Linked DNA regions of Caenorhabditis elegans. The protein of the gene in region 1 purifies or fractionates together with the protein of each later gene. This does not show direct contact. Each region holds a gene or a part of one and is shown on either strand. Other genes may lie near its edges.

Region 1 (12,165 bases):
AAATAAATACAAACAAATACGCACTATGGTTACATTTCCCACCATCTCTATCTAATTGAATTTTTTCTCCAAGCAATGTTTTGGACAGATATGCCATTTTGAAATAATGTTTCCAAACTAGGCCAAAGGGGCCCGTAAAGTCCGACTTAAATTGTTTACGAGCATTTTTCTGAAAAAAAAATTATCTGAAAGAAAGTTTTCCCCGAATCTAATGCCATTGTGAAGTGTTTTGAGAAAATTGGAACACTTTCTAACTAATTCCAAAGATGTGTAAGTTGTCGGAAAGTATGTATGTACAAGATGACTATCACAGAAATTTGATAAGCAAGAAAAAAGGCACTCCTCTAAATATAGCTGATGAGATGTGTCTCACATAATAAGCTCCTCGCGTCATCTGCTAATTAGGCATCAAAATAGTTTTTAATTCCCAATTCGTAAAACTCAACTTTTCCAAATGTGTAACTGCTGACATTTGAACACAATTTTTGTATGTGTACACAACTTTGTAGTACTTTGTGAGTCACAAGGGGACTTTACTTCAAATGGAACCCAACGGTAACCTTGAATGATACAAAAGTTCTGATTACAAGGGCACGTTCTGTACAAAAACATATTCCATAACTGTAAATATTTGAATCGTAGTTTTTACTTACTTACTGTGTAATTAGAATAACAGATTATGAAACTATATTAAAAGGAGTTATTTTTAAAAATTATATGAAAAGTCTAATTCGGAAAGATTAAGCTTTTATTTCTGAATAACTGTTGCTATCGAGACTTTTGAAATTCAATGGGTCTACCAATTGCTTGAAACTGTACAATTTATCAAGTGAAATTGTGGTTCATTGATGTTTTCAAAAGATATCATTGTTCAGGATCCATATGAAAAACGCCGGCAAAATATCTCGCCGCGAGTGTATTGTAGGATACGGTAAATTTCGGTAGAATGACGGAAAAAAAGGGATTGTCCAAGCACGAGTGGCTATTTGACTTGAATGGTCTTGGAACACACACAACCGGAGGTTGATAAAGTTTTTCAGACTTTCAGTTCCTTCTACAAAATGAAAAAATTCCGATTCGTTTAGCTAACAGTCTCCACAAATATTTTTCAATCGCAGTAGCCACTTGGGATTTCGGTTGTTCTCGAGTCAGTTCTTGGATATTTAGGGATAATTAGTTTCTCGATGAAAATCTTATCACGAATGTCACATACAACATTTATATGGATCATTTCAAACGGCTGATAGAGAAGTGTCTTTAAGGTTTTTCCGGGATGCATTTGTGTGTGCCTAAGGCCTGAACGCCTAATTGCCTGCCTACTGCCTAGATTCAGAATTTTCGGATGTTAGCACACCCAGTCTCGACACGATAATTTTTTGCGAAAATGCGTGCTTCTTTATTTTTGAGGTTTTCAATGAATTAATATTTCTGATCGAAGAACTAGTAACAATCGATGAAAATTCTGCAACGATGAGAGTTTGAAGTTACAGTACACTTTAAAGGTGCGTATATTATTTTATCAAAATGATGGCGTGTCGAGACCAAGTACAGTATTTTTGGGGCCAACATCGCTACATTTCGATAAACTTAACATGTCTTTTAAAAACTACCGTAACCCAATACGATATTATACAACGATAACGCGTACTTTCTCAACCAAAGAGATAATGACGTGGCATTATTACAGTATACCAAATTCCTATTATGATTCATGCATCCTTTATGTATTGTTTTGTACAATTCTGCCTTTGTTCTGCGTCTCTTCACAATTGACCAATCCTTGTTCATTCCATTGAATTCATTTCGCAACAAAAAATGTATGCTTCTTCCATTTTTTTCACCCTCGCGGCCACCGTCTTTTTAAGTGTAGAGGAGCGCACTTCTGCGTCTCTTCTCCAATAAACACTATTTCAGTTTCCCGCTCACATTCATTCGTTCATAAATATATTGTGAGAGAAAAAAAGAAATGGGAGGAGAGAAGTGTATGTGTGCGTATGTGCCCCCCAGAGGGTTGTCATTTTGTCGTCAAAGGGTTACTGCTGGGCGTTGAAGATTGAAGATGCAGATGCCCGTGGAATGGATTACGGTAGACGGAAGACAATTGAGAGAAATAATTTACTTCAAAGAAGAATTTGAGGGACATACTTTCCGACAAATGTCGTGTATTGTTACAATTTAAACATTTCAATCGAAAATACTGGTAGTCAATATGAAACCACGTGGATTGATTAACACTAACGAATTCACAAGTAATCAATAATTAATTATTTTAGAAAAGTCCCTTGGCAACAGCATCTGGAATCTCGTTTTTATGATCTTTGAGTTGAGCTCTTGATTCGTATGTGGCAATTGCAATCTGAAAATTGGTTTTTTTCCGAGGCGACAAATTAAAATTCTGTAAAAGCCAGATGTGCAATTTTTACACCAAAAATACAGTACTTGGTCTTGACACGACGATTGTTTGTAAAATGTGAAATGGTGTGCGCCTTTGAAGAGTACGGTATTTAAAACTTTCATTTCTTCGACGTTTAAAAAAATGTAAATTTTTTTAAAAAGTTTTTCAATAATAAAAATTTTAAATCCAGAAAAATCAATAAAACTTTCTGCAGTATCTAACAAGATTTAAAAATTACAGTACTCTTTTAAGACGCACATCTTTTCTCCTTTCACAAATTCGTCGTGTCGAGACCCATTGGTGAAAAAATATTTCGCGTCTGGCTAATATTCAAATTTTTCCTTACCCTTTGTCTGAACTCGTGCTGAAATTCTCCACGTAATCCGATATAGTAGATCTTTGTCTCATCTTCTCCAAAGTTTGCATCTACCAAAATCGATAGATTATGAATATTTCCAAACTTTGAAGCTTTCAACGGATAATCCACGAGTCCTTGTGGATCTTGTTTCAAATCAATTTCCTGATCTGCCTCAATACTACAGTCATCAAATGACATTGCCTCTCGATCTTTGAACAATCGAATTTTGGCTGGATGTGATCCATCTTCGTCTCCGATTATCGAGAGACCCGTTAGACGAACGTGTCCGGTGAATGGAATATTGAATAGCAACTCGTGATCGCAATCACTTTCTACGTATTCCAATCTGAAATTTGATTTTTAAGAGTGTATATGTACGTGTATACTTTTCTTTCTCTGGACATTGGGGCATTAGTTGACAGATTAGTTGTTCAGGTTGTTCTATTGACAGATAGAAAGACAGCTGTCAGCAATTTGATACAATAAGTACTTAAGTTTATCTTCATTACGAAAAAGTATTTAGCGAACCTTCAGAATACCTAGTTTAATTTTAAAACTTTAACATTACCATATGACTTATTTGTTTTAAATAATCTAAATTATGTGGCTGCGTGGCGGGTACGGTAGATTACTGTAAGATCGCTGCGAGATGTGATTAAAGCTGAGTCCCATATTACCCGGACGCGAATTTTGAGATTTTTAACAAAATACGGTACACGGTCTCGACACGACTAAATTTTTAATGCGAAAATGTGTGCGTCTTTAAAGAGTTAGAGAGTACTGTAGTTTCGAACGTTCGATATTGCGGATCTTCATAGATTTGTCATAGTTTTTTTCGGTAAATACATTTATATATTTAATAACTCAAATATAAACACATAAATTTGAACAAAACGTGAAATAAAAACTATGTTGATAAAAATTCGACAGAAATGAGCGTTAGTCTACAGTACTCTATAAACTCTACCGTACTCTGTAAATGCGCACATCTTTTCTCATTTGGAAAATAATTGTCGTGTTGAGACCGGGTACCGTATTCTTGTCGCCAAAATTACAAATTTTCACGTCTGGGAATTTAAGTTTATACCAATTTCTGTGAGTAATACTGAAGAGTTGTCAACTTTTTCCGATTAGCCACTATTTCGTAGACATAAATAATTTTCAAAATACTCCCCATTACCACAATACTCTTTAAAATGGAATGTTTTATCGTCGGAATAATCCTATATAAAAATGTAATCCTCATGTACTAGCTAACCTGTCATCTCTTTTTTCCATCACCTTGAAAACCTTCTTTCCGGCGCCGTCGACTGACTCGTTGAGAGTAGTTACCTGAGAGAATTGGTATCAATTTAATTGCTGAATTGAATAATAAAAACGTTGACAGCGGATGGCATTTCTCGCGATGCGTTTTCCTAATTTTGTGAGATTGTAGGGAGAAGTTACAGTTAACGCATTTTAAATTTAATTTTTATTTTAATTTCGAACAAGAATATTTAATTAGTTCTTGAAAAACTATTCCTGTTTTTTTCGATACTCAGAATATTTATATGTTTCATCTTACAATGCATCTTTCAATTATTTATTTATGGGTACGTAGAAAAAAGCCTCTTTGGCATAGAGGTGCAAGCGCGCTCCAACACTAAATAAATACGCTCCGCCCCCAAACATTGGGTCTCGTTAGGTATCTTCGGGAAAACTTTAAATTCGAACGTTTTAAGTGTGTTTTTGCTGATTTCAATCATTTTTGTTTTTTATGTTTACCTTTTCCATGTCAATATAGCTGACCATATCGTAGCGATACACGTCATCACCTGGAACTTCTGGAATGTGCTCTGCGGCACAATTGTGAGAATGACCATGTGAACACATCTGGACAAAAAACTATTTAAACTACTTTTGAATAAATGCCAAGTATCGGTATTTTTCAACCATCAAATATTAAAACACTCTGAAAAAGTTTTTCAGAAAACAATTTTACTGTAATCGATTCAAATGTATCTATTCAAAAGAGGACATGGGTTGATCATGGTGATACAGAAGTATTTGCAGATATTTTGTAATACTGGAGGGATCGAAAGAAAACAAAGAAAGAGAAAATGAGATTTTCTGAGATAGGTATTGAGTCAATTAAATAGCCAACAAACTTCTTTTTTTGAAAATACAAGCAATTTGAGAAGGAAAACAAGATGGGGTTTGTCAAAGGAAACGAATTTAGCCGTATTCAAGATAAAACGATAGTGTGCAGAGAAATAATTAAGAGAATAGCAAAGGAAGAAGCAAAAACATTAACAGTTGACAAGACATACAAAAGAAACATTATGGCGTTTTCAAATTATTATGCATTGGGGTTGACTGGGGCAGGTTGAAATAAGTTACATGCGAGAATAAACTGTAGCGGTTTTGGAAATACCTTCTCTTTTAACATTCTTGAAATCAAAAAGAAGGCAAATCCATTGAAACTACAGAATTATAAATATTACAATAAATTGACTGAACAAAATATTTAAATTAGAAAAAAAAATGTCTACGAGAGAACAGCCGGATGCTCAAAGACAAGATGTTCAGCTGACCGGGCACGCTTTGGAAGCGATGATGATTGAATCTTATCCTCGAAGACACGGCTCAAAGCCTGTAAAATTGTTGAATAAGAAATTGGGAAGAATTTAAAAAGTTTTTTTCAAATGTTGAAACTTTCAGAATTATTTTTTCGAGAATAAACAGCACATTAAAAATCATGTTTCAATCTTATTGCATACAAAGGATATTACTATTTGACAATTTTTCTTTGTTCTTATTTTCTTTTTTTTTATATGTTTTTCGATTTTACACAGAAAAAAAAAACGCAAATTTTCGTATTTTTTCGATTTATATTTTCAAATTTTTTTTTTTAATTTTGACCATTATCGCTCTTTTTTGAAAATAATTTATGTTTTCTTCTCATCAACATAGACATAATTCGATGAAAAATTCATTTTTTCTGTTAATTTTCAGAAAATATTTTTTTCGATTTTTCTATGAAAATTTTTCAATTATTCCAATAGACTAAAATATTAAATTTTGAAAAAAAATTGCAAAAAAAACAGAAAAACATCAGAGACCCCTTTGATCTAAAAATTGACATTTCTTTTTGTTTATGCAACAAAAAAATAATTTTTTTTGGTAATTTTTAACTTTTTCCCCGAAAATCAATTGTCAAAAAGGTTACCTCTAATCTTTGCGCTCTCTCCTTATACAACGGTTGAATTGGTAATTGTAAATCATTTGCAAGTGCCAATGTTCGAAGATCGAAATAATACTTGGCATACACCGACGACGGAACTTCAATATTAAAGTCGAGACATTCCAAAAACCGCCGTTCTAATTCGTTCCTGAAATAATTTAATTACGGGGTTTCTGACCAAATAAAAAAAATACTTACATATCGTCAACATTTGTATCTCGAAGAATTTGGCAATAATCAACATTCCAAACAGCTTGATCATCCCATACTTTTGATGCCAACATGATTGAACCGAGTACAACCCGACGCCAATTTGAAGGACACAAATCCATTTCTGCGTAATTAAGCAATCGTTCGATGTACACCTGAAAAAATGGTTTTCGCGTTTTTATACAAAATTGATAAATTTATTAAAGAAAAGAGAAATGCGTCGGCAGCAGAAAATCAAAATTGGGTAATTCAACTACGATAGCGAAAAGTTAAAATATTACCAGTGCGTGAATTTTTTGCGCTACAAATACAGTACATGGTCTCGACACGATAAATGCGGAAAGGTGTGCGTCTTTAAAGATTACTGTAATTTCAAACTTTGGATCCCCGACATTTTCATAATTTTTTTTCTAATTTTCTCATGATCTGTTAAAATTTATGTAGTTTTTAACAAATCAATATTTTTCATCGGAAAAATACGAAAAATCAATGAAAATTCCGTAGTCGAAAGAATTTGAAATTACCATTTTTTTTCATAGAAAAACTTTGTTTTTTTTCAGAAAAAATCTTTAAAAAAGAAGAATAATGGCCAAAAATTTATAAGTTATTTTTTTTCGAAAATTAGATTTTTTAATGTCGGAAAAACGAAAATTTTAATTTTTCATTAAAATCGAATAACGAAAATTTTTGAACCTTTTTTGGCACAAAAATTGCAAAACGTTGTGTCTTTTTAATATTTTTTCAATAGAACAAGGCGAATCTTCTACACAAATACATTTTTGCCAAATCTCATGATATTCATTTAAAAAGATTTTAACCGAAAAAAAAACTCACCAAAGTAATAATAGCACATTCGGCGGTCAACTGCGCAGAACTAAACAGATTTCTGACAAACCGATAAATATTCCGATGATCAGGATCCCGTGTCATTTGCTCTGGAGGTATAGGATCTCTCTGAAAAATCTTCGAAAAATGTATGGAACTTATGGATTGATTGATAAAACTTACGAAAATCGGATGAAGTCGTTCTTCGAAAATCTCCATTAGTCGCTCGTGTCCACGATTTTTACGATTTGAAATATGATAATATATTGCAAGAGAAATGCATTTTATTGTATTCTTAAGATGAGGTTGACTGACTGTTGAATCATCTAAAATTTGAGAAATCAGAGAATGTTTATGAAATCTTTAATTACCAATATAAATAGTACTGCAGCTGCTTGATTTACGCAGGCTTCTGGGTAAAATTCCGGGATGATGACCACCAGCTGCCAATGCATCCAACATATAACATGAACGACGATTGTCTTTTACTGGAATTGATAAGAATAGATTCAAGGATTAGAAGAAAAAGAATTTTACATTTCATTTCACTTTTACTTCGTTCCATAAATGTTGGCCGAGCTGTTGGATTCGTTGATGGATCTTCCTCGTATCCTTAAAAAATATGAATTTAAAAATATATACTTCAGTGATATAATTACCTTCTGTTACCTCTCGTTCACTTATGTGAGGAAGGAAGTTTGTCGATGTTTCATCACGAGGGAACACTTGATTGACATACTGGAACTGAATTTTAAATTTAGGTTTTTGTAGAAAGAGGTTTTCGAATATTTTTACCTTTAAAATATAATTTTAAATAATCTTGTACTCGTGAAGCTTATTAAAGCCCTTTAAACCAAATTTGTGTAAATAAAAAATATTATTCTCTTCGAAATGTATATTTTCAGAGCTTTATAGTTTTTTTTTAAATTAAAAACAATTATTCCAACAATCGATATCAAAGTTTCCATTTATGCAAACTTTTTCAAAAAATAACTTTGTATACCTCCACTTGATTAGTTCTAATATACTGTCCATCATTATTATACGATTTGTCCTCTCCGCTCGACGACCTCGTTCGCAGACAACACGATGAATTTCCCATCACCTGTAAACAATTATTGGTTTAAATTCAAAGTTTCAAAGACAATGTTACTAATTTCAACTTACGGAACACGTTTAATCTCCAAAAACCAAAATTATCGCATTAGGAGTGACTAGAAACTTGGGAAGCGAGTCCTGCAAATTAATGGAAAATCGATAAAGTGTGGGGAACGGAGCACAAGAAAAAATCTGTCTAGTAATGTTTATTCAATTGTTAATTGATAAATTGTTTGCAAATTAAATATAAAACAAATATTTTCTATGAGAAAAGCGAAGAAAAACAGAGAAAAATCCATTTCTTCAATGTAAAAATCGCAGAGAGCGGTGGTGGGCGGAGTTTATGGCAGGAGGCGGAGTCGGAATGCAACCCCCGCACGGTTTCTTCTCTCCACGAATTATTCGACGTCTTTTTATTTTTATAAATTTTTTAGCCACTTTTTTATTTATTTTGCTGGAATAAATCAATTAAGAACGCTTTCTGTAGAAAATTTTAGGTTATTTTATCTCAATAACTAAATGTTTACTCTTCGATTTCTGAAAATCGTATCTTTTCACATGAATCGATAAGTTATATTAAAATTTACAGAATGCAGTGGTTTGGTGGCAACGTAGCGACTGCGATTCAAATTTCCCGTAAGAACAAAGCTCTTCTCATTGTATATATCACCACGGATTCGGAAGATGGCCAGATTTTCGATGGGTTTTGGCAACATATCGATTCGTCAAATCTTTTATGCGCAGTAGTGGGAATAAAACTGAAAGCTGGTGAAACTTCTGCCCAGCAGTTTGCTGATATTTGTAAGTTGGAATGTTTAAATTATAGCAGTTCAGCCAAAATGTTATCTTTTTAGATCCTACACCAATTCTGCCAGCAGCATATCTAATCGATCAAAATGGAAAACCTTTGGAAGTCATCACTCCGCTCGTTGGAAAAACATATGACCAGTTCCGAGCCAAATTTGATAAAGCTACTGCTCAATTCGTCAATGGGATGCCAACAGCAGCTGCAAATCAACTTTCAACACCTAGTCCTTCTCCCGCCCCTGTCCAAGTACCAGCGTCAACGGATGCCCCAATCCCAGCCCCAACACCTGTTACAGCACCAATTCAATCTTCATCAACTTCTCAGGAAATGACTCGTGAACTTGCAGAGAAGGTAGCAAGAGCTAAAGCTCTTCTAGAGCAAAAAAAGCAAAAAGATGCTGAAAAGAAGCGAGAGGCCGACAAACATGTAAAGGAAGAAATGACAAAAGCACGCGAAGCAAAACAGGAAAGAGATGCTGAAGCGTTGGTCAAAGCAGCGAAACAGAGGAAGATGGAAAAATTGGCAGCCGAAAGTGATAAGAAACGAATTTTGGCCCAAATTAAAGCTGATCGGTAAGATTTTAATTTAGTGTTTCTAAAATATAAATATTTTTCAGCGAAGCTGCTCAGAAAAAGTTCGGGAAACTTGTGAACACTGAAAACGCTTCGGAGAATACTGAAAAGAAACAAGAAACCACTGTTGGAAAGGCTGTGCCATCAGACAGGTTAGAAAATTAATTGATAACTGATAATTTATGAATTTATTGTAGGTGTCGTCTACAAGTTCGACTTCCTGATGGTTCTACTTTTGTAGAAGAATTTCCTTCAAATGATGTTCTCAATTCTCTCGTAGAGATCATTCGTCAAAAGCCCTCTATTGCTGGAACTACTTTTGAAATTCAGCAACCGTATCCACGCCGCATATTTACAAATGATGACTATTCGAAAACATTCCTCGAGAATCAATTAACACCCTCTACCGCACTTGTCGTAATTCAAAAATCGTCGGGTTCCTCTTCAAATTATGGATCTTTCTCGCTCAGTACTCAAACCGTATCCTTTGTAACATGGGTTTTATACCCACTCACTGCTTTTTGGAATATTTTCTGTGGTATGATTGGCTGGAATTCTACCGGAAAACAACAAGACTCGAAATCTAAGAAAAACGATGGGCCATCTACATCGGGTCAATCAGGATCACAACCACAAAGACGCGGGATGCCAAGGAGTGCGGAAGTTCGTCGGGTTTGTGTGCATTGTTATTTTCTTTCCATAATGAAATTATTTTCAGCGTGGAAACGTCGCAGGGCTTGAAAATCCGAATGAAGACGATCCTGAAGAGCGAGCCAGTTTCAATGGAAATTCTACTCAGTTCATGTAATAATGTAAATTTCTTGTCGCCTGTGATTCCAACACCAAAAGTTCATCGCCATGGATAATTTATTTTTTGCTCGTTTATAATTCGAATCGAATAAAAGTTTTCATTTATCCCAGATATGTTCAGTTTTCTTGCTGAGTTTTCGGATTTTAAACCATAACTTTATACCTATTCTTTACAATGTTAAAAACATATTTTCTCAAACTCTATTGTGTTAAGATGACAGAAACAGAATCCCAGAAGCAAATAAAACTGGAAATATGCATCGATAATCTGGAATCTGCGGAAAATGCTGTTGCCGGTGGAGCTGATCGATTGGAAGTTTGCTCAGCTTTACAACTCGGAGGGCTCACTCCATCCGTCGGATTTGTGTCTATTCTGAGCTACAAGTATCCCGATATTCCACTTTATTGTATGATTCGCCAACGGGCAGGCGATTTTGTGTATAATGAAGACGAAATGGCAGCGAATATGGAAGACGTTGAATGGCTCAAAAAAGCTGGTGCCACAGGATTCGTTTTTGGAGCATTAACATCGTAAGTCGGAGAGTTTTAAATTGAATGAAACAAATAAATATATTATAATTTTATTTCCAACATGTTTAAATGAAAAAAGAAAAACATATTCTTGTTTCATTTCGAATTTTTCACCATTTTCCGCAAATAAATTCTCAATCAAGTTTATCAATAAAAATTTTACATAACATTTAAATAATTATTTTTAGGCTGACTTAATTTTTGAACAATGCGGAAAGCTTGTTTTTAAAAAACATTTAAAATGCATAGACATGCGGCAAAATTACGAAAGAAGTTTTGTAATTATAACGGTTGATTGCTCTGGATGATCCACAAAAAATTTCAATTTTCAGAGCCGGTTCATTGGATCGTACATCATGTCAATCAATAATTGAAACTGCCCGTCCACATCCTGTCACATTTCATCGAGCAATTGACGTCGCCTATGACTGGAAAACTTGTCTTGAGGACGCTATTGATGTTGGATTCAAAGCTGTTTTGACAAGTGGACAAGAGCCGTCAGCACTCGACGGAGTTTATATCATTCGAGAAATGCAAGAACTTCACAAAGGAAAGATCGATGTTCTCGCAGGTTGTGGTGTGAACAGTTCGAATGTCGCGAATCTTGTCGAATGGACTAAATGTCACTGGTATCATGCTTCAGCTTCTGTTGCCAAGAAAAATGCTCCATTGAATAAGGTGTCAATGGGAAAACAGGACAATCAGCCATCACGTGTCACTTCTTTGGAAGAAGTACGGATGTTGAAAGCGACATTGGCCCCCGTTTAATTATGTTCAATTCTTTTTCATGTCATATTCCAGTCTATATTGCATGCTTCATCATAGTTTCTAACATTTTCATTGTGTTTTGCAATTAGTTGGCTAGAATTTTTCTGTACCGAAAGTTATTTATTAATTTTAGAAGCTCACTAATCAATTAGATATTCGAAGTAGCATGTTTTTTTACTCTACGGGATTGTGAGGGTTATCAATTTATTTATGCCTAGGCAACTTTAATATAGGAGTTGATTTGAACTTAATTAAAATTTTAAATTTCGCTCCTCATTATTTCACAACCTCTCAAATTTTAGACCACGAATGTATGCAAACACGCGCCCTGAAGATTTGTTCCTTCTCTCAATTTCTCATTTTTTTGCTCTACATTTTCTCTCGCCATTTTTTATCATCCTTTTCTCGCATTTATGTTTCTCTGGTCACTCTTTCTCTACCTGCTGGAGGAACTGATAAACGGTTTATTTGAGTAATAATTTTTACACCTTTTTTCTAAAAAGAGTTTGCCTTTTTTAGTCTGAATACTATAGTTTATACTTTCCAACTTTGTTTTTTTTTAATTCA
Region 2 (12,933 bases), on another chromosome or scaffold:
ACAAAAACAGAAAATTAAATTTAAAAATTTTGCAGTAATTATATCAACGGAATGCATGTCCCACCACCACGAACACACAGTCTCTACTATCCACGTGGCTACAATTCTCGTCGAAACTCATATTACGGATCCAATGCTTGTGAGTATTTTCATTGTTTTCATAACAAAAAAACTGTCCGAAAAAGTGAATACATATGCAAAGTACATCCTCAAAATGACCTTCCCGTCGGAATTGACGATACTTGTTCATACATACAAAGAAGTCAGAAATGAGTCTGTTTTGCGATGAAAGAGACGAAAAGAAAGAAAAGAGAGAATAAAGAAATGTTTGAAATTAGCCGAACGAATGAATTCCGATGGGACGACATCTTTCAACTTGATCATTTTTAGTGATAAGCTCGGTTTCTTCTTCCTCTTATTTTTGAAATGAAGAGCAAGAATTTTTGAGTTCTGCTATTCTAGATTTTTACGAATCATAGTTTCTCTGAAATGAAATTTAGAAAATTATAGAACTAGAGGAAAGTTTCATAAATTAAATTTTGATTTTGGAAGTTCTAATAACCATTTTTACTCTGGAGTAAGTATTTCGAAATACACTAATTAATGTAGGTCAAAACATCTGTTCTTCACCACACATTTGTGTATTTCAATTTTTCCTCAGTTTGCACCTGGTTTCTTTACCTTTTTTGCAGGTGTTTCTGGTCATGTGCCGGTTTAAATTCACTAAATGTTTTCACCTAGAATAATTTATTTTAATTCAAATTATGCTTAACACTTTTTTCCATATAGCCTTAAGATCTATTTTTATTTCATTTTCCAGTTGAATTATCGGTCAGTCAGTCACACAGCTGGATTATATATTCTTCAACGTTGTCATTTTTCTCTTATTCTAGTGATTTTTACTAGGAAACTAAGAATAGATTTAGACTAAGAATAGATGGGGATTTTAGAAATTCTTTATATGAGAGAAAAATAGTCTTTTTGCCTTTAGAATGTTCAGAAAGTTTATGCTTGGTACTATTGCGTTTACCGTAATTATAGTTTTTGTTCTCCTATAGTGTTTTCCATCATTTCTGCCCACCGACTACTATTAATTTCGAAACATTACTAGTTTCTACTTGTTCTTTTTTTTTTTCATTTTTAACATGCCGCCCCCTGTCATCTTCTCTTTCCGATTAATCACTATTCTCCAACAACGAACACACGTACTGACAATGGCCGGTTAATTGATACCCACACGAAGGCTTCCGATTGCCCATTGTCATTCAGTGAGTTGTTGGAAGAAATTCACTATGAGAATCACTTCATTTTTCCTTATTTCCAAAACCTTCTGTCCCGTGAATCTCCGTTGCAGGCAATAAAGTAAGACGATGCTCATGGTTTTTTCCTGGGTTACTGTAGCTCATAGTGAATGATGGAATAGAGTTTGTGGGTTTTGTTTCCTCCAAATAATAATTGATCAAAATACATCAATAGAATATAATTATCAGATATCAATGTCAAAAAGAACACCTTTCAAGACGTGCCATTAACTTTTTTTCCAAATTTTGTTGTTTATGTCCTCTGTGAGCACAAATACACAAATGAAATGTTGTTGCCCTACCAGATGTGGCTGTCTTCGTCGTCTTTTTCTTCTACTCGCCCCTGTCCCTCCATTCAAAAACTATTGTTTCACTTTTTGTCTGTGATCTCTTTCTCCCATTCCAAAACTCTTCTGAACTTTTCTTATTTTTTCTTAAAGTCGGTTTACGGGCGTTCACACAGGCAAAAAAAACATTTCGGAAGGTTATGAGAAAGACAAACACTGTTATAAACCTATTTTGTTTTATACTATGTGCCCTTCCGAAACATTTTCTGTATGCAAATCTGATCATTCCATATGCAAAAAATGACGTTTGTTGTGCTTCAAAATTTTATAAATGATCTTTTGAATTGAAAATTTTATTTGAAATGGTTTTTATTTCGGAAAAATTGAATATCTGAATAATTGTAAAAATTTAAAATTCTGAAAAACTATGATTTGTTCATTTTAGCACCATTTGAGTAGTTTTATATTTAAACCCAGACGTCTCATTTTGTGGTTTCGGTGTTTTTTATTGAATTTAAAATTCAAAGGAAAAAATAAATTATTTTGGTTCATGAACACATCGAAAGACCTCTCCTCATCTTTCATCTTTCCGCAGCTGTTTCGCACGTATTAACTACAGTTTTATATCCCTCGATGAGGGCGGGTTTCTCGACACCTCCTCTGAACTTAATTACCCCCAGTTCAATTCATTTCGAGTTCAAATTGATCATAAATTGAGCCTAAATTTGGGCGAAATACTGGTTTTATTGCTGAATTCTTTCTGCGTTTGGTATGTGTTTTACAAAAACTGAATAAGTTGATATAGGAAATAATTTTCTAAAAAGAAAACTTGAATTTCCATTTTATAAACTATATTGAAAGGGTCCACATGCGGTTTTCATGAAAATTTGAAAGTACTTTCGAGTGCTCCTTTCTGCAAGATGTCCTCTTCTTCCACACTACTTCCACATTATATTATCCGTCGAATGTTTCTTTTGTTCACCTCCCCGCCGCGATGGCTCCGATGTGTGGAAGAAGTAAAGCCCATCCATTTCAACCCCGAAAACTTTTTTTTCGCATTTTTATTTTGTGTATGTGGATGTGCGTGTGCGATGCTCCTCTTCAAACCAAGACTTATCCATCAAAATCCGTTTGGAGCTGTTGGGTTTGGGGTTCCAAATTTCATTTTATCAGTATTAACCAACATAAAGTCTCTAAAACGCCAGCTCACATTAATTCAAGGTTCCTGATTTTATTTAGAATAACTATAATAGTTATTAATTCTGATCTATGTTTTAAAAAGAACACTTCGAATCTTATTTCTCACTCTGAACTTTCTCTGCTCTCTAAGTACCTCCACTTTGGCTCTGTGCTCTTTTTTCCCAGCCTTGCTTTTACATCTTCGCACAATCTTGCTGCTCTTTCACACTGAATTCCTGCAAGAGCGTCAGAAAGGTTAGAAGACGTGCAAATTGTGTTAAGATTCAACAGCTTCATCTTCTTCTTCTTCGTCCCTAGTTGTCCTATTTACTCTCTCACTCTCTTTCCTGTGTAACAATCACCTCAAATTGAGCATAACAATGCTCATTCTGTCCACCGCTAATCGACAGCCAATGGACGACGTTCAATATGACGTCCAAGTCGGGAGTGGAGGAAGTAGGCAGCAGTCAAAAAAGGTTAGGGATTACGGAATGTCAGGTTTTCTTCCTCGTTCGTTCGCTCCTGCTGTCAACGTCTTTTGCATCATACGGGTATATATTCAGCAGACCCAGAATGTTTTTTTCCAAGAAAGTATAACTTATTTTTTTCAAAATTCTCATAGGAAAATCAAGATTGATCTCTTTTTGTCCCCATTTTGGTCGAAATAATACAATCACACTCCCTCCCTTTTCTCCTTGATTAGCAGTCATTTCTCTATCCCCGTCCATATATATTTATTGTTGTTTTTTGGTCGGCGATGCTCAGAGGACAGTAGGAGGAGGAGCTTTTTTCTCTTAGAATGAAATTAATTAAATTCGAGAAAAAAACGAAACGAAAGTAGTTCTACAAGGATAGAAATAAAACATCGCAGAAGATTTTATTTAATCAGAAAAAAATATTTAGAAATAAAAACCTACTTTATATTAGTAGTTAATTGTGAATAGAGAATAAAATCTATATGGTTCATTAAGAATTCCATTTTAGGATTGAATATTGACTAAATAAAATTCATTCCATCATTTTTATTGTCCAAGTCGGTTTGGATAAAAAGAGCAAAACGGGAAGCGGCTCATGGAGACTACTCAAAGGTGGTTTCCCAACGAAGCACACGCATTTCGAATTTATAATTGACATCCTAGACAGATTTTGCATATGGAATGAACCTTGTGGTAGTCTCAATGACATAAAGAATCGGGGCACTTGTTTCACAACTCTCATCAATTTCTGATTGATGCTCTTGACCCCTCTGTCTATCTGATCGTTATTCATTCCGACCCGGAATCACTGCTCAGTGCAGGAGACAAAAAGTGCGGTAGGCCAGTAACTTTTTATTGGTGTATCCTCTCTTGTTGACAATCGCGCGAATGGAAAGTTTACACCAATCGAGTGCCTTTTTGACATTCAGTGACCGCATGGGTGTGAACAGATGTGATTTTAATGTAATAACACGCGGCTCAATAGAGCGGTGATTGGGAGCACGGACGTCGTCTTCATTCATCCTCCGACGTTTCCTGCTGTGTGAGCAGATGACGTGGCGGATAGTAGAAGAAGACGAGCGCTTGTCACAGGCAATTCAGTCCCTCAGGACATTCAAGATTTTGGCATTCGGTTTTTGAGATTTTGAGTTCACGAGGTCTAAAGAATTAGAAAGAGGTTTTTGTAATCAATTGTTATATCATCCCAATATTGTGTAACCCGTAGTCGTAGTTTTCAGTTTCTATTCTGCATGTTATTTTCACAAGAATTCTGAAAATATCATGTCTTATTCATTTGGTAATTATTTTCCGCCAACGCCTTATTCCCTTCTCTCGTTAGCATTACTATTCAAGTCTCGAAGACGACGACAACGACGTCATGACAAACAAGAGAATAAAAACTAGAGACTTCTTTTGAAAAATAGTCTGGAGAAATGAGAAAGAAAATATATATATTCGTCTGAAAAACCTGGAGCCTCTTCATTCTGAAAGTTGTATCGGTTGCTATAGAACGACGTGGGCTCTGTCATAGCAGGAGCAACACTAGGCGGATTAGTTAGGCAAACTGAGAGGCGAGAGAGGGGAAGAAGTGCTCATAGAAGGGGCGACACAGGGGGGCTCCTCCCCCGTTACTCTTCTCCTATCGACACTGTGCTCACTCTCTGCTCTTCTCACCCCTGGCTTACACGATGTCGTTGCCTTCGTCCACTACTACTACTCTTTCGCTCTTTTCTTCGTATCGTCTGCGTTTGTGCACCACGCCTCCATCCGGAGCTCTCTAGCTTTTGTCTGCGTCTCGTTTAATATTCAACGGAGAGAGATGGAAGGATATTCTAGTTTGCGAGCCGAGAGCTGCGCACACGCTATTCATGCTCGAGTTTACTTCTACGACGAGACGCCTGACGCCGTGCTCCGTTGGCTCATTAGAGGCACGACAAGTTATCTCAGCAAATGTGTTTTTGCACGCCCACAATCTCGTTTATTTTTTCATCTGAAAATAGAAGCGTTCTTTTGCAACACAATAAGTTACTCTTGGTCATTCCAAAAAAACAGTAAGTAATATGATGCTAGTTTTGAGCAGATTACGTAGTTTCTACACGATTTACTCAGTCTTTTGTGACTTATTCCATATTTTTTTCAACAAAAAAATCAAGTGGTCACGTCACTTTCTCTTCTTTTATGTACATTTCGGATAGGTGTCCGCATGCAAGCTCCCTCAACCAAAACGTGAAAATTTGAGGCTTCGATTTTATTTTTCAGTGGAAAATTCGTATTTTTCATCTTCCTCTCAGTTGGTCTTACAAAATTGTAAATTCAGTTACAACTAATAGAATTGGAGGTTTTTTTAAGATAAATTAGTTGTGACAACTTTCAAATCGGTGTTATGAACTCATTTTCACACCATTATCATTAGACATTCATCGACACTTCTTCTTTTCCATCTATCCTCTTTCTTCTCTCATCATCATCTTCCTTTTCTATACTCCATTTTCTTATTTCTCCTTCATCGTTTGAATTTCCGTTTCAGCTTGCTTTTTTAGCCTCACTCTCAGTGAATTGAAAACCGGGAAAGCATCAGAAATTCATCGATTCGTACATGATAAATTCTTGTTCCGCCATTTCTATGCATTCGAAATCTGAAAATCAAAACCAACGATTTTTCAGGACCACTTTTATTACTTTTGTCTAGTGTAACTTTTGAAAATTATCAGTACAATTATGTAACGATTTTGATTTCCAAGGTTCTAAACTCCTTACATATAGATTTATAGATTTTGTTTTTCTAAATTTGAAATTAATCCTAAAAGAAATCCCTTGCCATTAAGCTCCTTATTTAATTGTATACTTTCTCATTTCCATCGTTCTGTTTCCTTCATCCCGCTCTCTTGAACTCTATCAATTTAATTCAGTTGTCCGCCAAGTGCATGACCGCGTACTCTCCGGCGGATTCGAACGCCGAGGCGCGTCTTCTGTCAGGAGGTTCGGACCCGATCTCGGATACTGAAAACCTATTAGATCTTGCATATGAAGTTGGAACGTCATCATCTGATAATACTCGATACGATAGAGAAAGTGAAAATGATGAAGAGGAAATTGGTGTTGGATGGGAAGATACAACATCTTCGAGTTTAAATAAAAGAATGTGCAAATCAGCGACATTTCATGATTTTTGTGATGATTCTGAATATTCGAGACGTCCGGTCACGACTTTACACGAAGAAGATTTTGATGAAGAAGAAGAGGACGAATTTGAAGATGCAAGTGATCGAAGAAATCTAGACGAGGATGATGTAGAATATGAGGATGAAGATGATGAAGATGATATTGTTGTAGAAGAAGAAGAAATAACACCTGAAGATATTGAACATTCTCCAACAGGAGTTACAACTCAAACAACTCCTCCATCTAATAATACAAGTAAATCAAAAAAGAAAAAGAAACGAAAATCAGATGAAGAAGATGGGCTTCGAAAAATGAAGAAAAGCAGTACATTTGCTTCTTTTCTAAACATGTTCGTGTCCAGAAGACGTTCCGGAAGGGATTCTGGTGAGAGACTCATGTCTCGTAGCACGTGCATGTTAAGGCCAAGCATTTCATTGTGTAAGTTTCCAATGAATGAAATTTGTCTTGACATTCTTTTGAAGGATTTAAGTAGAACACAAAAATTTCTCAATTTTTGTAGTTTTGTAATTCAAAACCACTTCTTATAAGAGTCATCTATGACGTAACTGGAGCTAGTAATCTGAAAAGGAATGGTTATTAAAAAAAGGATGTACTTTGTATATGTGACTAGTTTATAGACTGAGTAAAATTGAAGCCAATAACTTGACAATTTACAGCGGTTGTCCAAGAATCGATGATTTTGGGATCAGATGGAGAGAGTGTTGAAGTTTCTCCGTGTACTTCTGATCAAACGCCAACAGGTGTTCCTCCTAGGTAATTGATATTTTATTATAATATTATGTTAATTTTCATATTTCAGATACATTGTGAACGTGAAAATGCGACAGAAGACAGCTAGAAAGTGGAGTGAGGTATGGTTTTACTTAGTTGAAAAGTAATTGTTCAATAATTGAATAAAATGATTTTTACTAAAAAAAGTTTTGACCGGAGTAACACAATTTTTTTTGAAATATGAAATCCAAGAAAAAAATTTAAATTCTTTAAATATTAAAAAAAAAACGTTCGTATTCTCGATTCTAAATTCACATGCCTGAAAATAATTTTTTTAAATTGTGTTTTTTTGTCCGAACCTATATTTTTTAAACCCATATTTGAAAACAGAACATCCTTATTTTAGAATTAATTCAAACAGCGAAAACTGCCAAAATTAAAAAATCTAGTTTTTCCTTTGTGGCATTTCTGAATTTCAGACTTTTTAAAAAAGTATTTTGAGGCAAAATATTATTATTTTTCCTTTAAATCTGAAACATTTTGAAAATTAAAAAAATATATCGGTGGCCGATTTTCGCAAATTGCTCAATTTCGAAAAAAATTGGTTTTTTTTTCTGTAAGTACTATTCTATGTTTAAATTGAAATTGTGTTATTTGTGATTTTTGAGATGTTTCTCGAATGTCATGAGATATTCAACTCTGTCTATTTTAGGTTATTACCACGAGATGAGCCGGAAATTGAACCGGAAATCTATCGAAAAAAAAAGAATATGCATCACACTGAAATTCATATAATATTTCTAACAAAAGACTTGTTTTTATTTTGCGTATATTTTTTTTTCAGGAGGAAATCCAAAAGCGACTGTCACTTCCTGCAGATTTGCGTCTTCCGGTTGCAGTTGTCGACAAGCTTAACAGAACACCAACATTGGATCAACCACTGACACGAAAGAATCGAAGAGCATCACTCAGTGAAATTGGCTTTGGAAAATTAGAGACTTATGAGAAATTGGATAAACTCGGTGAAGGGACGTATGCTACCGTATTCCGAGGAAGATCCATTTTGACGAACAAGTTTGTGGCACTAAAAGTGAGTATTCAGAGACAAAAAAAAGATTAAATTTCAAGATGAGAATAGGAAATTAATTTCCACTATGACATCAAGCTTCCGCTTTCGGTTTTATTACTTGTATACCAATTTTTATGTCCAACACAAATAATTTTCCAGAAATAGGAATTTTAGCTTCTTTTTCAAAAGAAAAAAGTGTTAAAAAACGTAATTTAATGTTTTCGTTCTTATAAATAAAATAAAAAACAAAAAATAAAGTCAGTTTCATTATATTTCTCAAAATTTTAAAAATTATCATTTACAAAACACATTTTTCAGGAAATACGTTTGGAACAAGAGGAGGGAGCACCATGCACAGCGATTCGCGAAGTTTCGTTATTAAGGAATCTTCGACACGCGAATGTTGTTACTTTACATGATATCATTCATACGGATCGGTTATTAACATTGGTATGTTATTTATTTTTAGAATAAAGAAAATGAAAGAATCTGAAAAAGATTCCCGATTATTTATTTTCGATTCATAAATTTAATTTTGAAGGTATTCGAGTACGTGGATCGTGATCTGAAGCAATATATGGATTCATGTAACAATGCAATGCAAATGAATAATATTCGACTCTTCCTTTACCAACTTCTTCGAGGACTCGCCTACTGTCATCAACGAAGAGTTCTTCATAGAGATTTGAAACCTCAAAACTTGTTGATTACTGCAAAAGGAGAGCTTAAACTTGCGGATTTCGGACTGGCACGTGCCAAGTCCGTACCGACAAAGACGTATTCAAATGAGGTTGTCACATTATGGTATAGGCCACCAGATGTTCTTCTTGGTTCCACTGATTATTCGACACATATTGATATGTGGGGTGTTGGGTGTATATTGTTTGAGATGATTGCTGGAAGAGCTCTTTTCCCAGGTGGTACACCAACAGAGCAACTTGGACTCATTTTTAGGTGAGTATTAATTTTTTGCATCCAGTTTCATCTTTTTCGTTTAAAATCTTCAAATTTTTAGTTTCTGAAGATGTTTAAAAACTTCAAACTATTACGTAGATGTCTAAAATTGAAATTTTTGTCATATCTTACCCGCGTGGGTCTCACACAATGACAACGGGTTACGGTAACTCATGTCGATATGGGCCTATATTGCACTATAATTTCCGAATTAAATGAAAAATTGCTGCCAAGATTTTTTACATTAAAATGTCGAACATTTTAAAAACAAACTCAAAATAAATAAATCTTCAGAACACTTGGATCTCCTCGACCGGATCGACATCCGACAATATGCGAAAAGCCAACATTCTATCCATACGCTAACAGACATTACAATCCAGATCCACTTTGCCGTCAAATTCCACGGATTGATGCTCACGGATTCGAATTGCTCATGAAATTCTTACAGTACGAAGGAAAAGATCGAGTGTCGGCTGCTGAAGCTGTGAAGCATCCGTTCTTGAGGACGATCGCTGTGAAGGTAAATATCAGTTCTAGATCGGAAGTTTATTGAAAATTCAACAAATTTCAGTGTTGCCACCTGCGAGATGAGCAATCTGTCCTAGAAGCTGATGGTATTCACATTGAAAGGGAACTTCTGGCATCAGATCATCATCACAGCTCTCGTCGTCATCATCGTGGAACTCTTGTAAAAGATAAATATCGAATGCATTCGAGTCATCACACTTAGAAATAATTTTCTCAACAAAAAAAAACATATTTAGAATTAAATTTGTTTCTTTTTTCCCCATTTCATCTCAGATTGTGTTGCACTTTTACGGGTTCTTGTCAACCAATTCCGATTCGTTTCCTCCCAACCAAAATGTCCTTCCAATGCGGTCACTTATAGATCAAGATGTTTATGAAACATGTTTCCTAATAATTTATTGTGTAATATTTTCTCTTCATATCCCGAGACTCCATCATTCTTCTTAGAATTTTTCCCGTTGTTTCCCGTAACCAGTAATAGCGATTTTCAAATTTACATTTTCTGTTCATAAATCACACAAAAATCTACAAAAAATCATCTCATAATCTCAATTTGTTCCCAAAAAGCACACAGAACCATTTTTTTTGCTATTTATTTTAGCCGTTATTCTTATTGTACACCTGTGAATAAACAAGCTCTACCCGGAAAGCTTCTACTTCTCATCGAATTGGAAACAAAAATTATTTATGTGGATACCCAGAAAAATGATAATATGCAAAAAAATTATGAGCGTTTCTGCTGTAAGTCTAAAAAGGGACAATGGTTTTGGATGAGAGGGGAGCATCACAGAAAAATCTACGGGAGAAAAACAAGAAGACTGGTTGAGTTTTAAAAGTTTGTTGGTATTTCGGGTGTGTGGAAGGGGGCTTACGAAGAGAAATTCACACGGAATAGGCACTGATTTGGAGAAAAAAAAAAACTAAATGCACAAGTTTTACAAATTCGTCACTTTCAAAATGTATGATAATTTATCTTGGAAATTGACGATTCTGTAATTTTTCAAATCAAGAATTGTACTTGAGGGACTAAAATTACCCTGTTTCACACGGGATTTGCACAGAAAAAGGAAACGAAAAATGGAAGGAAAACAAGTTTAATGAGATAATTTAGTCTAATCTGACCATTCATTTTTGTCATCTTCATCGTCATCATCATCACTAGTATCATCTATTCCCATATTCATTCGACGTTCCTCAAGAGCCTTTGCTAGTGCTCCAGCCAATCCTCCCATTCCAGCGGCTCCAGAAGTCGTACTCTTTCGACGTTCTTGCTCAGCAGCTGCATCCACCTAAAGTTTAAAAAAATTGGAATCAATAGTAATTTTCGGTTAAAAATTGTCTTACATGTTTTAATTGTGCTCCTTGTCGAATTTGGGCCATCACATCTCCACGAGCATCACCACCAGCCGATTTTGGTGAATCTGCAGTTTGTTGAACGGATCGAAGTTGTTTTCCAGCTTGGATTTCCTGAATACAAAATTCAATAGTGAACATTTTTAAAAGTATACTAACCGCTAGCAAATTCGATCTTCCATCCTGAGCAGGTGGTAGTTTTGCGAGCACCGATGCAGGTCCTCCGGCTCCTGAAGGTGGTGGTGGAGGTGGAGGGGGTGGAGCTCCTGCTCCTACTGCTGGCAATCCCATCGGTGGTGGAGGAGGTGGTGGTGGAGGAGCTGCGGATGATATCGGAGCCATTCCAAATGATTGTGGTGGTGGAGGGGGTGGAGGTGGTGGAACCGCATGTGGTCGATTCTCTGGGGTTCCATAGTTGGGCGCCTGAATATAAATTAATTTTTTTCAGAAAATCACTCTCCGGTTACTTACTTGAGGTAAAGGTCTTGATGGTGCAATTCCACGGGTACCAGATGACGGTGGTGGAGGAGGTGGACGAGCTGGAGCCAATCCATGAGATTCGACACGTGTTGGAGGTGGAGGAGCGGCAGGTGTGGAATATGATGAAGCACCGCTTCCAATCGGAGCAGATGATGGGAATGATGGTTTGTATTGACGCACTGGTGTTCTGAAAATTTTTTTTTCATTTAAAAATAAAACTTTTTTGTTATCGTATTTCTAATATGGCTGAAATACGCCCTCACCAAATGCAACACTAATTTCATTTCTAATATTTCTAGTATTTATATTAAATATTTCATAATATTTCTGGTTCTCAGCTACAAAAAACAGTAGTCGTAAAATATATTCAAGGGTTAACTGTAACAGAAACATATTACTTTTAACTTTTTTTGTAAGTTTGCGGAAAAAAAACTACATCGAAAGCATTTCGGGGGAGAATAATTGGGATTGCGTTGCCATTACTCTTTTTCATGGTCCGACATCTACCGGGTTTCGACTCACACAGCGCATATGCATGTATCTTCACAGGGGCGAAACCCAGTAGATGTCGGACCATAATTAAATTTATTTTTTCTGGTTTGGAGTTATTTTTTTCCGAAATGAAAACAAAAAAACTAACTGATTCCATGACTGATTCATCTGTGGATGTTGCTGAATTGGTGGTGGAAGAGGTGATGAGATTTGTGATGGATCCAAACTTCCAACAGATACATATTTATCATAGTTCTTGGCAATGAATTTTTTCACGAATTTCTTATCATCCTCATTCAGATTATTGCTTTCCAATCCAGCAGCCTTTAGAATATTTTTAGTAGCTTCATCCATATCATCGTCGTAAACTGTATTCGAGAATCCACTATCCTGATTCCATCCAACATGAGCTTTATGTCTGAAATATTTAGTTTAATTTAAACCATTAAAACGGAATAAATCTCACTGAAAGTTTGTTGGATTAGAAATATCCTCTTTCTTAATTTTCGATTTTTTATCCTTCTTTTTGTTTTTATCTTTCCGGAACCATGATCCACTACTGCTAGCATTTCCATCTGTAAATATTGAAAATATTTAATTAAAATTAATGTTATTTTTTGAAGAGATTTCTCACCAAATTTATGTAACAATCTTTTCAATTTATTAATCATTAAAATATGAGCAAATTTTGCAAAGTATGCATAAGAAATGAGATATAAAATGTGATTTTTTTTAAGTTTACGTAATTTTATTCAGAAATTCAATTACTGACTACGAGAACATCATTTTTCAATTTCCAAAAAAATATTCACCTGTATGTGTATGTGATTGTGGTGCAGCAGCCATAGTTCCCATTTGTGTTATCCCTTGACCTCCGCCAATTGCCATTGGAGGTCCTCGAATTGTTCCTCCATAAG

What was found.
Region 2: the proteins of cyy-1 (region 1) and pct-1 purify together in Caenorhabditis elegans (affinity purification with western blotting, with the first as the bait; one study listed by BioGRID). This does not show direct contact.

Annotation. Positions count from the first base shown.
Region 1 is NC_003281.10:8,401,956-8,414,120, reverse strand, and holds cyy-1 (Cyclin-Y), read right to left. Parts: upstream 8,248-12,165; 5' UTR 8,179-8,247; intron 8,117-8,178; 5' UTR 8,114-8,116; coding exon 8,015-8,113; intron 7,756-8,014; coding exon 7,671-7,755; intron 7,624-7,670; coding exon 7,549-7,623; intron 7,500-7,548; coding exon 7,383-7,499; intron 7,338-7,382; coding exon 7,195-7,337; intron 7,141-7,194; coding exon 7,021-7,140; intron 6,342-7,020; coding exon 6,175-6,341; intron 6,125-6,174; coding exon 5,962-6,124; intron 5,386-5,961; coding exon 5,281-5,385; 3' UTR 4,715-5,280; downstream 1-4,714. Other genes in the region: PITH domain-containing protein ZK353.9, read right to left, coding at 2,270-2,356, 2,742-3,099, 4,012-4,085, 4,518-4,625; ubxn-4 (UBX domain-containing protein 4), read left to right, coding at 8,700-8,910, 8,964-9,489, 9,534-9,641, 9,687-10,161, 10,208-10,297; cutc-1 (Copper homeostasis protein cutC homolog), read left to right, coding at 10,514-10,830, 11,163-11,598. UniProt on the Caenorhabditis elegans protein: In association with pct-1, regulates the trafficking of synaptic vesicle precursors in DA motor neurons by promoting anterograde trafficking to the axon and preventing dynein-dependent trafficking to the dendrite.
Region 2 is NC_003282.8:8,178,543-8,191,475, forward strand, and holds pct-1 (Cyclin-dependent kinase 17), read left to right. Parts: upstream 1-6,150; 5' UTR 6,151-6,167; coding exon 6,168-6,843; intron 6,844-7,082; coding exon 7,083-7,179; intron 7,180-7,225; coding exon 7,226-7,277; intron 7,278-7,981; coding exon 7,982-8,227; intron 8,228-8,524; coding exon 8,525-8,656; intron 8,657-8,747; coding exon 8,748-9,160; intron 9,161-9,454; coding exon 9,455-9,683; intron 9,684-9,734; coding exon 9,735-9,893; 3' UTR 9,894-10,340; downstream 10,341-12,933. Other genes in the region: wsp-1 (CRIB domain-containing protein), read right to left, coding at 10,804-10,980, 11,036-11,158, 11,204-11,467, 11,516-11,711, 12,165-12,434, 12,483-12,591, 12,829-12,933. UniProt on the Caenorhabditis elegans protein: Serine/threonine-protein kinase, which, in association with cyy-1, regulates the trafficking of synaptic vesicles in the DA9 motor neuron and probably also in the DD motor neurons and in RIA interneurons.